Drosophila melanogaster: one gene and its partners. The protein of the gene in region 3 purifies or fractionates together with the protein of the main gene of each other region. This does not show direct contact. Each region holds a gene or a part of one and is shown on either strand. Other genes may lie near its edges.

The links.
Region 1: the proteins of ATPsynG (region 3) and ATPsyndelta purify together in Drosophila melanogaster (affinity purification with mass spectrometry; 2 studies listed by BioGRID, with this or other methods). This does not show direct contact.
Region 2: the proteins of ATPsynG (region 3) and ATPsynD purify together in Drosophila melanogaster (affinity purification with mass spectrometry; 2 studies listed by BioGRID, with this or other methods). This does not show direct contact.

Annotation. Positions count from the first base shown.
Region 1 is NC_004354.4:10,211,146-10,217,998, forward strand, and holds ATPsyndelta (ATP synthase, delta subunit), read left to right. Parts: upstream 1-1,824; 5' UTR 1,825-1,929; intron 1,930-2,135; 5' UTR 2,136-2,141; coding exon 2,142-2,340; intron 2,341-2,414; coding exon 2,415-2,626; intron 2,627-2,953; coding exon 2,954-3,016; 3' UTR 3,017-3,851; coding exon of another isoform or gene 3,852-4,976; 3' UTR 4,977-5,403; coding exon of another isoform or gene 5,404-5,409; 3' UTR 5,410-6,248; downstream 6,249-6,853. Other genes in the region: CG2962 (uncharacterized protein), read right to left, coding at 3,852-4,976, 5,404-5,409.
Region 2 is NT_033777.3:19,093,064-19,096,876, reverse strand, and holds ATPsynD (ATP synthase, subunit D), read right to left. Parts: upstream 1,878-3,813; 5' UTR 1,803-1,877; intron 1,481-1,802; 5' UTR 1,469-1,480; coding exon 932-1,468; 3' UTR 606-931; downstream 1-605. Other genes in the region: mRpL55 (mitochondrial ribosomal protein L55), read left to right, coding at 2,059-2,235, 2,292-2,438. UniProt on the Drosophila melanogaster protein: Mitochondrial membrane ATP synthase (F(1)F(0) ATP synthase or Complex V) produces ATP from ADP in the presence of a proton gradient across the membrane which is generated by electron transport complexes of the respiratory chain.
Region 3 is NT_033779.5:10,974,950-10,978,607, forward strand, and holds ATPsynG (ATP synthase, subunit G), read right to left. Parts: upstream 1,451-3,658; 5' UTR 1,413-1,450; exon of another isoform or gene 1,357-1,412; 5' UTR 1,342-1,356; coding exon 1,302-1,341; intron 1,213-1,301; coding exon 953-1,212; 3' UTR 573-952; downstream 1-572. Other genes in the region: abo (abnormal oocyte), read right to left, coding at 1-263; SCAR, read left to right, coding at 3,013-3,658.

The DNA of each region.
Region 1 (6,853 bases), on a different chromosome or scaffold from region 3:
GGCATTGGTTCCAAAAAACAAAACGAACTAATTAGAAAACAAATTTTAAAACGCAAGTAGAATGTCATTTACTTCACTAAGCTGAACATTACTTTTGAGAATTATTATGGGTTTTTAATTATTTGTTTTATTCTTAATTAGTTGAGATTGACAACTAATCATAAAGATCGGATGACAAGAAAACCTACATATAATTTTGCCTGAATCAGATAGTACGAAGGGTATACACTTTTCGAAGTATCTAAAAGTACCGTAACAAAAAACAAAAGGAGCAGAAGATGAAAGCGAAGAAGCAAAAAGAGGAGCAACGACCCAACATTGTTGTTGTCTTATGCCGCTGCTTCTTTGCGATGTTGCCGTTCCGCTCGCACCGCTATAGCTTGGGGTCAATAGCTAAGGATCGGATCTGTTGTATATATGTTTATATAGACCGATTGCGGTTAGTTCTCTTATCAGAAATAACATGAAATATATTGCGTTGCGACGCCACTGGCGACCGCGACGCAGGCAGAGGGCAAGACAGCGGAGAAGAGAGTGAGTGAGAGTGTGACGGCGGAGAGAGAGGTAAACAAAAATACACAAACACATACACATGCGCGCTACAGCTGCTCGTTCACATGTGTATGCGGGCCTGTATGTGTGCAACAAACAAAAAGCAGAAAATCCTTCTCTTCTTCACACCCTTTTTCCACAACAAAGTCAGCTGTGTGTGTGAGGAATGAACTTTAAGGCAAGCTTTCTGTTTCTATTTTTTGCAGAGTTTTTCCAACTGAAAGGCGCAATTTGCTAAGACACCTATACACATACACGAAGAGCCAAGCAAAATAGAAGATATAACAAAACAAAATAGAAAATAAGCAGAGCGAAAAATATATAGACAGCTATCTATGCACACAAACACAAACATGGGGAAACACTGTTGTTTTTCGCAACTGCGTTTCGCCTGCAGGTGCGACAGAGAGGGCGCGAGTGGGTGACAAACTTGGGTAAATGTTGCAAGCACTTACGTCCTGTGTGTTTTGTTTGTTTGTTTGTTTGCTTGTCGCCTTTCGCTGTCGTTCGCCAACAAACACCTCAGCGCAGAGCACACACGCGACACGCACACACTCACACACAGTCACAGAGACGTGCACAAATAGCAGCCGAAAATGGCACTCTCTTCTTCTTCACTTGTATAATAATGCAGCAATCTGCATTGTTTCGTTTCTATTTCCAATTGGAATTTGTTGTTGTGCTGCCTGTGCCAGTGTGACCAGGTAGCGCGGTGGCTAAAAATAGTCGCTAACGCCAGTTTTGAATGTTGCGCGGGTAAAAGATTCGTGAGATACGAAAAAACTCCGAACTTTAATAAAAGGATCTAATAAAAAAGGAAATACTGAAAAAGAAACTAAACAAAATCAAAAACACCAGATTCATAACAGTATAAATGGTCGCATGGTTATGCCATGTAAACACACCGTTATTAATCAAAGTCTTAATCTAATAAAGGAAATTTCATTTTTTAAATTATAATTTTTGGAATAAATAGTTTTTCTTTTAATATCATTTTTAATGTACGATCAAAAGCAATATACAAAAAATTTAAGCTTTTAATTGGCGATGCCAGACTAATGAATTAAAAGAATAAGTGTTGCCACTAAAAGTTTATTGGTCTATATAATTTGTTTATTGATTGAGGCACTTTATTATTATAATTAAAACACTTAATTATTATGTGTGAAATGATTGCACTTTTTATTTTGTAAGAGCCTGTTGCGTATTGAAAATTTTGTATTTTGTCTTGTCCTCTAAATATCGTAAAAACGCGTTATTGCTAGATAAGTTTTGTATTCCCGGCTGGTCACTCTGACTTAAACGTTTTTCGCAAAAACAGCGGCTGATCACTGAAGTTTTCTCGTGTTTTTCGCTATCAAACCGAAATAAAAACAGGTGAAAATAACTGATAAATTGAGGGGTAGTCCACTGATCACAGTGCCCGAGGATTTGCAATGAAAAGCGATCGAAATTTGAGCTGGGGAAACGCAATAGCAGCCGCCGCCTAACCTACAAAGTTACATAATTTGGTTATTTTGTTGTTATGCTGGCTGGCTGTGGCAGAAAAGACTTTTAATCCTGAATTTATCCTCTCGTTGCAGCCCAAAATGTCCTTCGTTAAGAACGCCCGTTTGCTGGCCGCCCGCGGCGCTCGCTTGGCCCAGAACCGCAGCTACTCGGATGAGATGAAGCTGACCTTCGCCGCCGCCAACAAAACCTTCTACGATGCCGCTGTGGTGCGCCAAATCGATGTGCCTTCCTTCTCGGGATCCTTCGGCATCCTGGCCAAGCACGTGCCCACTCTGGGTAAGTTCGATCATTCAGTTTCAGTTGCCTCGAGATGGTTATATCACCGTTGGCGAATCTCTTTGCTATTGCAGCTGTCCTGAAGCCCGGCGTTGTCCAGGTGGTGGAAAACGATGGCAAGACCCTCAAGTTCTTCGTCTCCAGCGGTTCCGTCACCGTCAACGAGGATTCCTCCGTTCAGGTTCTGGCCGAGGAGGCCCACAACATCGAGGACATCGATGCCAATGAGGCGCGCCAGCTGCTCGCGAAATACCAGTCACAGCTTAGCTCCGCTGGCGACGACAAGGTGCGAATCTAGTCAAGAAGTTGCATAGTAGAGTAGTGTCTAGAAAGTAGAAGTAGTGGTCCAGAAAGTACAACTCAAACAGACTCTTTTGATGGAAACACTGCTTCCACCATTCACGCCAACTGGCATTTAAGTTACTAAACGATTTCTATGTGCCCATCCTTTTTACTTGATATACTTTCTTTGTACAAACAAGTTTGCTCTTAAATTAACGCTTACACATTCGATATTTCCATGAGTAAACTTATGTTTGAGTTGCTTTTGCATTCTGTATTGCACATTCTGAAGCTATCTAAACGAGACTTAACCACGATCCTTGTTTTGCAGGCCAAGGCCCAGGCTGCCATTGCCGTGGAGGTCGCCGAAGCGTTAGTCAAGGCTGCCGAATAGACGTAATCACCACACAACCGCCACCAATAAACCACAATCGATGCTTTGTGTCTGAAATAAATAAAAAACATAACGATCACCTTAAAAAGCCAGAGAGTTATGAAACAATAAAAAAGCGAATCATAATATCGTATTAATGACCCGTGATCCACCAGGCAAATGATTTTTTTTTCTTTTTTTTTTCATGTTATGCCGCTAAACTGTGTGTTTATATAGTTTATAATATATGTATGTGAGCTGGTGAAGAGAAATGTGTAATATTTGCTCGCTGTGGGATAGACCGTTGATATGATAATGCTTTGGCAATCTTTAAGTCAAAAATATGAGTGATTTGCATTTTGGCCGAAAGAGACGAACGTCGTTTCTTTTTCCCTTGCCAATTTATGCAAATCGCATAAGCATAAAAACTTACAATTTGTAAATGAGCTCGTCTTTCATCTTAACAAATAGTATAGTTTGTATTTCATCTGGTGTGTTGCATTCATGGATAGTTCGCATATCTTATCTCGGATGATTGTTTAAATTTCTCTCAAAAGTAGTAATAAAAAGCAACTTTGTTTTTTTTTTATGGAAACAAGAATTAATCAATGGCTAAAATTATACTTTTGGCAGATAGAAGATAATCCATTTTGAAACTCTTTATAAAGATGATAAATACTATAGAATTGAAAAAAGAAAATTGGATTTTTTTTTTTTGGAATTGTCTATGTATTTGGTAACAAAAAAATGTGTTGTAAAAAAAATGTCTTAAATTAACTCATGGCGTTGTGTGGGAATGGTAATATGCTGTCGATGTAGTTAGCAGGAAGGTCCTCCGATAGATTGGCGAATTGTTCTAGTATCCCGGTGGGCCGTAGGTCTGGGCAGGGGCGTGACCGATGGGCAGGGACTGCTCCTCGGGAGCAAAAACGGGTGCAGGAGCGGGATGTGGCACACTCAGGACGGGAGCGGGTGCTGGGGCGGCATAGACTGGAGCTGGGGCAGGAGCGGAGTAAACTGGAGCGGGAGCAGGAGCGGAGTAAGCTGGAGCGGGAGCAGGTGCGGAGTACACTGGAGCGGGAGCAGGAGCAGAGTACACAGGAGCTGGGGCAGGAGCGGAGTACACTGGAGCGGGAGCAGGTGCGGAGTACACAGGAGCGGGAGCAGGAGCAGCATAAACTGGAGCCGGAGCTGGAGCAGCATAAACTGGAGCCGGAGCAGCGATCTCCTGAGGAGGCAGGTAGGAAGCGACTGGAGCAGCCACTGGTGCGGGCACATCGATGGGGGCATAGGCTGGACCGGCAGCTGGAGCGGAGTGCTCATGGATCACACGCACCACCTTGGTGGCTCCACCCGAAGAGTAACCACCGGAGGAGTAGCCACCCGACGAGTAGCCACCCGACGAGATGCCGCTGTCGTGGCTCTCGTGAACGACCTTGATGACCTGGGACACGGCACCGCCGCCAACCGAAGAGCCGCCGATGAAGGATGGTCCAGCCACGGGTCCAGATGCCACATTCACCACCTTGACAATCTGCGGAGCGCTCTCGACCAGCGGGGCACTCACAATGGGTGCGGATTCCTGCAGGATCTTGATCACCTTGACGGAGGAGGGGGCGGGCCCAGCTGGAGGCAGATAAGCGGGTCCAGGAGCGGGTCCATAGCCACCGCCGCTGCCGCCAGAGATGACCTTCACCTTGAAGATCTGGGGAGCCGCCTCGTAGCCATAGCCGCTGCCATAGCTAGCGCCGGAGGAGTAGCCAACGCCGCCCTGCTGATGGATCACCTTGACCACCTGGACTGGGCCACTGGGTCCATGGCCGCCATAGCCGCGAGCGCCACTACCACCGCCGCCGCCTCCGTTGCCACCACCGCCTCCGAGGTTAAGGCCGCCACCACCGCCTCCACCGCCGCCACCGCCGAGGAGTCCCAGGAAGCCAGCGTTGGCCACAGCGAACAGAGCACACATGCAAACGAAGACCTGGAAGGATGGCAGAGTATAAGAAGCGATTTAGTTTCATGTTTCATGTTGCATCCTTAGAGGATTTTAAAGAATATATAAAGTTCATTAAGTTTTTGTTATGTTTTCCAATTAGAAAGTAGAGTTTTATCGCTGGTTTTTTTTTCTATATCTTTAAAGGATCTTTGATCTTCATAGACTGTATTTTCCAAATGGATATACTTTGTATTCATTCTTTGTTTAAATATTTTCATTTTCAATCTTCTGATATTCTTCAGCACACTTTGTATTTGAATATTAACTATCACTTCTTCGAAAGTTCGAAAGAATTTAAACTGAGCTCAGGATGCTCTTGCCACTTTGTCACTTTTCAAATCAGTTTGGATAAATAAAAAAAAAAAAACTAGAAGAGGATATTTGCCGGCACAGGACATTGTGAGCAGCTCACCTTCATGCTGACTACTAATCCACTTGATGCGATGATACCAATTCCAAAAAAAAAAAAACGCCTTGAGTGCCGATGAGCAAGCGACTGATGTCCGATCGATTGGAGACCAAGTCTTTTATACGATATAAGCCAGCAAGGGCGAACAAAAGGCGTTTCATTAACATTTCCAAACTGCCCATCAACGCCATCATCATCATCGCCACGATGATGAGCAGCATCATGATGATGGGCTTTCGTTTTCATTTCGATTTTCACCAAATGCTGCTGGACGCACCCAAAAGTGCCAATCGTCGTGGTTGGTTCTTCCATAGCCAGTTGGATTCGGAGCTACCAGCTACCAGCTACCAGCTACCAGCTACCAGCTACCAGCTACCAGTTTCAGTTTCATCAAGTCTTACGCTGCATTTCCCAAATTCCGAATGGGGATCCCACAATTAGCATGAAAATGAGACGCTACGTTAGTGATAAGCTCGGAATGGGGCTTTCATATTTCGTATTTTTTTTTTTATTCGGCATCTTATGTTTTATGGTTTAGGTTTTCGTTTTCATTTTGATTTTGATTTCGATTTGGATTTTGGATTTTGGTCAATTCAATTTGCATACACGGGCGTGCTGCAAAGCGGTTGCCTCACAAGGCGGCCGGCAGTCTGTCATAAACCAAAGCGAAAACCTAACCCAACCCAACCCAATCCAATCCAATCGAAACCAAACCAACCCATTCCATTTCACCTCATCCGGCAATTTCAAGGTGAATCTGAATCGGAATCTGTTGTCAAGCCGAACCATCTCATTGATGGTGGCTATATTCCATCTATATGCAGGTATTTATAAAACGAGCCGATTATTATGCAAGCCACCAGTCGCATCTTCGAGCCATGTAAAACGCATTATGTTGGCCCAATAGGCCAAAGATGTTGTAAAATTGGCCAACGGTTCGGATCAGTGATATCTGTTGGCGCATTTTAAATAGCCACTAAGTATTACATACTTACAACAATAAACATATGTTTATTTACACAAATATTCAACATAATCAACTGATGTGCATATATATATATATCCATTTAGAATCATATTTCTACTCAGTTTATAACAATTTTATAAAATACTATCAAATTGTTCAAATTGGTTATGCTTTTCGGTTAAGAAACGTATTAATTTATACCAAAAAAAAAAGAGATTTTCAGTGGGCAGATCAGATTGGTGGGAAATCAAGTAATATCCAAGAAATGGTTGGCTAACCTGCACTCTGCCACTAATCGTGATTATGATCTTGTCGCGGTCTATTATGGTTTGTTAATTGATCCATGCATGGAATGCATCTGTTGAGAAACTACATACATACATACATAAATATCTATATTAGTGCATCTGCAATCTCGAAACAAGTTTGGCTCAAATCTTCAGTTCAATATAACTTTTAACTTATATACATAAATATTTAAAACGA
Region 2 (3,813 bases), on a different chromosome or scaffold from region 3:
TCGCGGACAAGTTAAGACGCGCGCTGCTGCGGTTTTTTCCTCGCAAAAGGTGAGCTTGTTCGAGTTGGAGCGAGATGGCGAGAGAAACGAGATTTGAGCGGCGACTGAAGCTTTTAACGGCTTTCGGAGAGCCAAACAAGATGGCACTGCTTGAATTCTCTCAAAATAAATGCTAGCAGTGCTCAGTCTTTCAACCAATAAACATTTGAAAAATATACTAAGGCGATCGGGAAAATCCAGTTAGAATATACTGCCTGTAGTGCGGACACAAACCAAGGTAGAGGTTTAAAAGTATTAAAATCCAGCGGTGTGGCAATAAGGAGCAGGAATTCCCACTTACTGTGCCGCCTCTAACTCATCGACGCTAATTTGACGCACATTAAATTTCAATATAAAGTACTTTCGGAATTATTAAATTTTTTAGAAATCAGGAAGTGCTTTTCATTCCCAGAAACCGACATCTCTGGGAATTTATTTGCCACCGCCCACAAGAGGGAGCTTTAGTTTCATTTAGCAAGTACAACATCCGCATTTAGCGGAGTCTAGCACCACCATTGGTGCCGATTAGTAATTTTAATTTTTGTTTAAGTTTAAGTTTGAATTGTAGCCAATTTGCTTATTTATTTATTTGTGCATTTGATTTTTATCTATTAGCTTATAAAACTGCAAGGACCGGCTATCATTTCCAGTGCATTGGGCTGTCAAATTGATTGTTTTCTCAATTTATTTCATTATTTTGATTTAAGGATCCCATTTTCTTTATGCATATCCATCCAACAAGATGTCACATAGACAACAAATGCAAATTAGATACCGTAACTGTCATTTGAAATGAATTTAATTTGGGTAATTTACTTCAACGCGGATTACATTTCGAATCGAACAGACGACCAACGAAGCCAGTGTCAGAGTGCTCCTCGTGCGCTCCGGTTTAGTGGTGTCCCTGGGCTTCGGCCTCCAGCTGCTCCTTGGACTTGTAGCCGACCTGCTCCTCGGGAGTGTGGGGCCAGAAGGTGGGCTTGTTGAGGGGATCGAGTGCGCTATCGGGGAATGCGTCGCGGTAGTCCTCCATGGTCATCTGGTCGTAGGGCAGCAGAGACTTGAGATGGGCGATCTCCTTTTGGTAGTTCTGAATGCGCTGCTCCGAGGCCTTCTTGTAGGCATCGATTTCGCTCTGCGACGCCTTGATCTCGGCATCCACCTGGGACGACACCTTGTCCTGGGGATAGGGCACCTTCAGGGCTTCGTACTGCTTCTGGAAGCTATCGACGAGTCCGGCCACTGGCACAAGCTTCTTGTAGTTGGCCCAATCGATCTGGGGTGGGCACTCGGGATTGGCCAGCACGGCGCGCACATAGATGTCCGACTTGGTCTTGAAGGCGCCGAAGCTGCTCTTCTGGTTGGCGGGCACGCGCTCGGCGAGAGCGGACCAGTTGATCGAGGATTGGGCGATACGGCGGGCGGCCATTCTGCACAGATACTGCAAGACAACAACAAAAGCGGGGATGAGGTTAGGTTTTTGGGTTTATAGAGGTGGTAAGTGATTTCTAGGTGTCCTGGAACTGTGCAGCGATATTCTTATTAGTTGAAATGTAATCTCTGCTTCTTTAGTTGCAGACTTATCGACATAATGCACGGCGAGTTATGCTCGCAAAAATTATGTAATTTTTTTCAATCCTCAATGTTCCTTCAAACTAAAAACGCGTTTGCAGTCCTTTCCTCGAGGCTTGCAGACTAATCGCTGTTGTAGCCCAACCGTGCGCTTTTTTTTTATTATTTTTGCAGTGTTTAACGTAACGTACTTATATTTTCAAGGAGAAAAATAAGAATTTCTGCCTCTGCAACCAACACTTACACTTTGAGTACGAATGTGACCAGAGCTGGGGAAAATACCACATAATGTGGAAACTGAACCAGGGCTACCACAGATTCTTAATAACTAATTTAGGAGTCTTTAAATCTTACCCTCGGGTCGGTCACACTATCAGCTGCCTGGCAGCAAAAACACGATTTAAGTGTAGCTCTTATTTAGTGTAAATATTGTGATTATCAATTAAAATGTTGCTGAAACAGTTGCCCCAGGCTGTTCAGCAGATACGCTGCATCTCATCGGCCACGACGGCGGTTACCAGGCTGCATCGCTCGGTTTACTGCCGGCTATATCCCACAGTTGTGGTGCAACCCGATGGATCCACGATAAACATCCGCTATCACGAGCCCAGGAAGATTATCAAGGTAACGTTAGTTACTATAACTTAACGAAACCATAATTAACGAGTACCATCTACTAGCTTCCCTTGGATCTGAGCACCTTAACCGATGCGGAGCGCAGAGCGAGATTGGAGGCCCGCAAGCCGCGCAAGAAGGTCAAGATCATGGAGGAGGTGGAGGACAACTTCAACGCCAAGAAGTACATGAAGTACATCAAAAAGAAGTAGCCGCATTTTATTCACTATTTGTTAAATAAAACACGAAAGCCCGTTATATAATTGTTTTAAATTAGAATTAAGAAATTGTGCTCGTTATCGATAGTGTATATCGCACATCTGGTATTTTTGTTATCGGTTTCAGCATGGGCCCTCCACTTTTTTCCACCATCCCACAACGGTCACTCTAATCGAGTCGGAAAACAAAGTCGGACGTCTAGCTGCGCGTCGCTCCCGAAGAACTGTTAATTTGTGGACGCTTTTTCGCGAGTGCAGACATAAATGAAAGCAACATATCTTTAGCTCCATTCCAGACTGGATCATAGGCTATAGCCCGTTAGAGCAGTGCCAGTGAATCGGTTACCGAATTATAATCTCGCTCTGCGTCGGCTGAGTGGTAATGTTGAATGGACAGTCGCGTCTAACAAAAAAAAAAAAAAACAAGTACACACAACCAACGACGAATGCACATAAACAAGACGAGACAGCAAACGCAGAATCGAGTGAAAACCTATTTTAAAACACCAGAGCTATATTTATTTTGTTGACGCTCAGGATTTTCGGTCCTCGCATTTGTGATGTCTGCGGGTGCGTGTGAGTGCGCGAGTGCGAATGTGTTGGTTGCATATCACGGCGGATGCGAATAACTGCAATTGCAATAGAGAGCAGACACATACACACAAACACAAGCATAATTGGATTATGGCCACACGGCAATAAGAACGGAGGGAGAGAGAGAGAGCAGTCGCCAAAACCAAACGGGTAAATAAATAGTATTAGCAGAAATCGGTTAAAAGCCAGAATTAAATGGATTAGACCTGTGCTATCGTTGGCATTTCCCCATCGCTGTGTGCGTGCGTGTCTGTGTGCGGAAGCAACCTAGAGATGGGCCTGACCTTAGCTTTCGCACACTGCCTGCCAAAAGTTGCCACCCGCTGCTTTCGCTGCATCTTGACACAACATGGTTTTCAAGGTTCTACCGAGATAAAAACACAAATATAATTTCGTAACGGGAAATGCAAAATTGTCATGTACTATTGTATATTTAAACATTTAGAATTGAGGGTAAATAGGTTTGCAATCTTATATTTTAACTTACGTTGATTGTATTTTGTCTTAAATATAATAAAACATAATGCGTAAATAATGTGTCTATTTATACTTCGTAAATGCTAAATTTAAAGTAAACATTGTAGAGCTAAAACTTGTTACTTTTTCACATCTGTTTCGAATAGCATAGCCATATGATCTAATTTGAAAAGCAAATGCTTAAATTTTTTGTGAGCTCAGCAGAATCATTTCCATATTCATTTGAATCGAACCTGTTGTCACCATGCGATGCACTCGGAAATCTGGCTCATCTCTAACACGTGCGTGTGTGCGAGCG
Region 3 (3,658 bases):
CCGTAGCTGTATATGAGCAGACTGCGCTGATCCTGCGAGAAGGCCAACAGTTTTCTGCCATCCGGCGTAAACTTGCGCAGGTAGATCGGCGGAATGGTAATCGAGTCAATTGTCAGGCAAGGCGTGATGCACTTGTAGAAGAGACGCTCGTAGGCCAACAGCGGCATCCTGCCCGGCTGTTGGCCCACGTTGGTGTATCCGGACTCGCGGTTCTGCAGCAGATGCACGAGGTTCTGCGATTGTAGGCGCTTCTTGTAGGCCATTCTGACAGATCCTGGGAAAGTTCTGCCAAGTTCCTATTCCTAATGTCAGCCGGGTTCTTCTTCCGATCGGAAGGTAACTAAAGTAAAGTGTGACCGCAGTTAGATTACAAAAATTTACTCTGTCTACAAAAGTTTTGTTGTTAAAAAATATAAGTATAATAATAATAATATTAATGCTTTTCAAGATTCAAATAAAAAACGTTATTTATAAATAAAATAATTCAATACATCTTACTTTACTTTGTTTAAAAAAATGTGTAAATGAATTATCTATGAAAAGCAAATTTAGATTTATTTATTTTTTTTTTTAAATAAAATTATTCTTGAGTGCTTTTAAATGCTCTAAGTATATTATGTATTTCTGAACCATTAGCCTCTTTGATTACGACACCGTTTCATAAACATTTGATGTATAACATTACATATATTTTTTTAATTTTTATCATTAAATATCGTCAACTTTTAATTCCAAACTTGGTTTTACATCACCTCATCTTTAGCTTACACAAATCCCGCGCAAACGTTCTAACGGTTTTCAAAAAACAATGTATTTTTCGAAAATTTTCGGAATTTTAAATTACTATTTCACTTTATTCAGAGTCGAAATGTTCGCAGACATATAAATATACACATCTGTTAGGGATTACGTTGCCCATTCCAGTGACTGCCAAGCGGAGACTATAGTAAGCTTAGACATTGTAGCCTACAATGTGACGCTTGCCGATGCACTCGCCGATGTAGAACCAGAAGATGACCTCGGCGGTCACCAGGGTGTTAAGCCAGGCCTCGCGAACCGTGAGGTTCTTGTAGGCGCCGGTCTTGGCTCCCTTGATGATGTTGCCCAGTCCTTGGCGAATGGCCGGAATATCGGCGGGCGTCGGGGGCGTCAGTTCCACCTTGGCGTACTTCAGGAACACGTCCAGTTGGGGCCTCGCCTGTGTGAGGAGCCCTGCAAAAAGTGATCATTACATAATTTTGCGATTGACAGGCGCCAATGGTGGTGTATCCATTCGATTGCATTCGATTCACGACACTCACTGTTCACAAGTCCTGATCCCTTGGTAGCCAAACTCGCCATCTTTTCAATTTGGTTCTGCAAGCAGTTGGAATTATACAAGAGGAAATCAACGAAATGTGCGGAAAACTTACCTATTCAGTGTGCGACGAAACAGAGATGTTATGCATTGGGGCCAGGGCTGGAGCACTAGTTATCGATCGGCGGATAAATACCAAAAATACCAAATATACATTTCTAAAGTTAATGGAAGAAACTGCAAACAGTAATTTTAAATAACGTTAATAAAATAGCTTATTATGGATAATATAGAGTTAAAATAAAATAAAATAAATTGAATATATATTTATATTTAAAATATTTCATTCTATACAGTAAATAAACAATATGAAATGAGTTACTGAAAATTCCCTTGCAAAATTTATTTAAATATAGTAATTAAAATACATATTACATTTAATATAAAAATAACTTTTTCCCCACCGCATCGTGCAGTATATTTGTCTGATTTTCCGAAATGATGAATCCCTGCAGTATTTTCGAACCACAAAGCTTCGGTCACACTGCAAAGGTGTGGAAATCTTAGTTTCCACAAAACGAGCAAATATTTGCAGTTTTCAAGCCCCAAATTGGCTAATTAGAGTTCGCATCGGATCGAATTTGCCACCGAACCCCCGAAACGGAAGTGGCTGCTTAATGTTTGTTGTGGTGCCAGCCGCCAAACGAAAAGTGTGACGGGCGGTGAGTGTACGATATGCTGTAAAGTGAGGTGGACTGTGTAAAACTAAGCTGCGCCGTTCAAAACCAAAATCAAAATCGCAGCAGCCACTACGATTAGAAAGTGTGAGAGATACCTTTGTGTGTGCATTGTTGCGATTTAGTGCGAATGTTTCAGTGCGAAAATCTGAAAGAGTCAGCCGTTCCGTCCCACACATATGTATGTACATTTACTTGGGTGCTGCTGCTGCTGCGGTTCATGCGTGTGTGTGAGTGCGTGACGGTCTAATTTGCGTTGGTGGGAGGCCGCCGACGATATACGTATATGCACGTATGGAATAGGTGCCCACGTAAAGGCCCCAGGTCGTAGCACCCAGAAACTGCCACCGAAAAGGGGGGCATTATCGACTAATCTCGCCGGGACTGCAAGGTGCATCTTGCGGGGGTGACTTGGGCGTTACGCCCTTATCACCTCGCTGTGGGTATCGTTTCGTGGGGTGTGGTCCAGACGTCGAGTTCGTCAGTCGCGCATATCACAAAACAATTCAAATGGCATTTTGGTGATTGTAATGAACACGTCTCATGGATACATGGATAAGCGTCTCGTGAAATCTTCTGCAATACCATTCTGAGTCTTGTTCATAGACGGTTTAGTATAGTGATGACAAAATTTCTTTTAAACCAATTTTGATAGTATCCAATTAACTTTTTAAACGTCTACTTTTACGGGAAAATTTATAAACAAAGTTAAACGACAATTTGGGAAGTACAATTTTATCGGAATGAAATGTCTTCAATTGATAATCAGCATAAAAAGAAATCTTTTTATTATTGATCCCAATTTGGCATGAGATTATGTAGTAAATCAGTAAATAAAGGGTTTTATATTTAATTAATTTTAAATGCATTAATTCGTATTAAAACAATTTATTACTTATTAATGCCGTTTTCAGTCGATGAGGACGCACTAATTTACGGGTTTGCCAATTTGGAGATAATTGTCAATCGCGCCCGACCATGCCGCTGCCCAAACGATCCATAGAACCCGTGCATGTGGCCCGCTCCGTGTATCAGCAGGATGAGCTGCAATCCGTGGAGCTGGAGACGGTCACCAACACCACGCTGACGAACATCATTCGCCAGCTGTCCTCGCTGTCCAAGCACGCAGAGGATGTGTTCGGTGAACTGGCCCGCGACGTGGGCAACATCGGGGATCGAGCTAACTCCCTGCAGGCGCGCATCGATCGCCTAGCTATCAAAGTTACCCAGCTGGACAGCACAGTTGAGGAGGTGCCCTTGACGGACATTACCCGAAAGAAGGCCTTCAAGTCGGCCAAGGTTTTTGATCAACAGATCTTCTCGCGCGCCACCATGCCGGCACCAATGATGGACACATATGCCCAGTGCGACAAACCGCCGCCCCTCGACAAGCTTAATGTCTATCGAGACGATGGCAAGGATGGTCTTAAGTTCTACACGGATCCGAACTACTTCTTTGAGTTGTGGCGACAGGAGATGCTGAAGGATACCGAACGTGTGATGCACGACAAGGGCAAGAAGCTGAACAGACCGCGGCAGGATGGCGGTGCCGGCGGAGCTGCTGGACGTGGCAATAAGAAACAGAAGACCAAAATAAGGGTGCCGCACAATACGCGCGAACAGC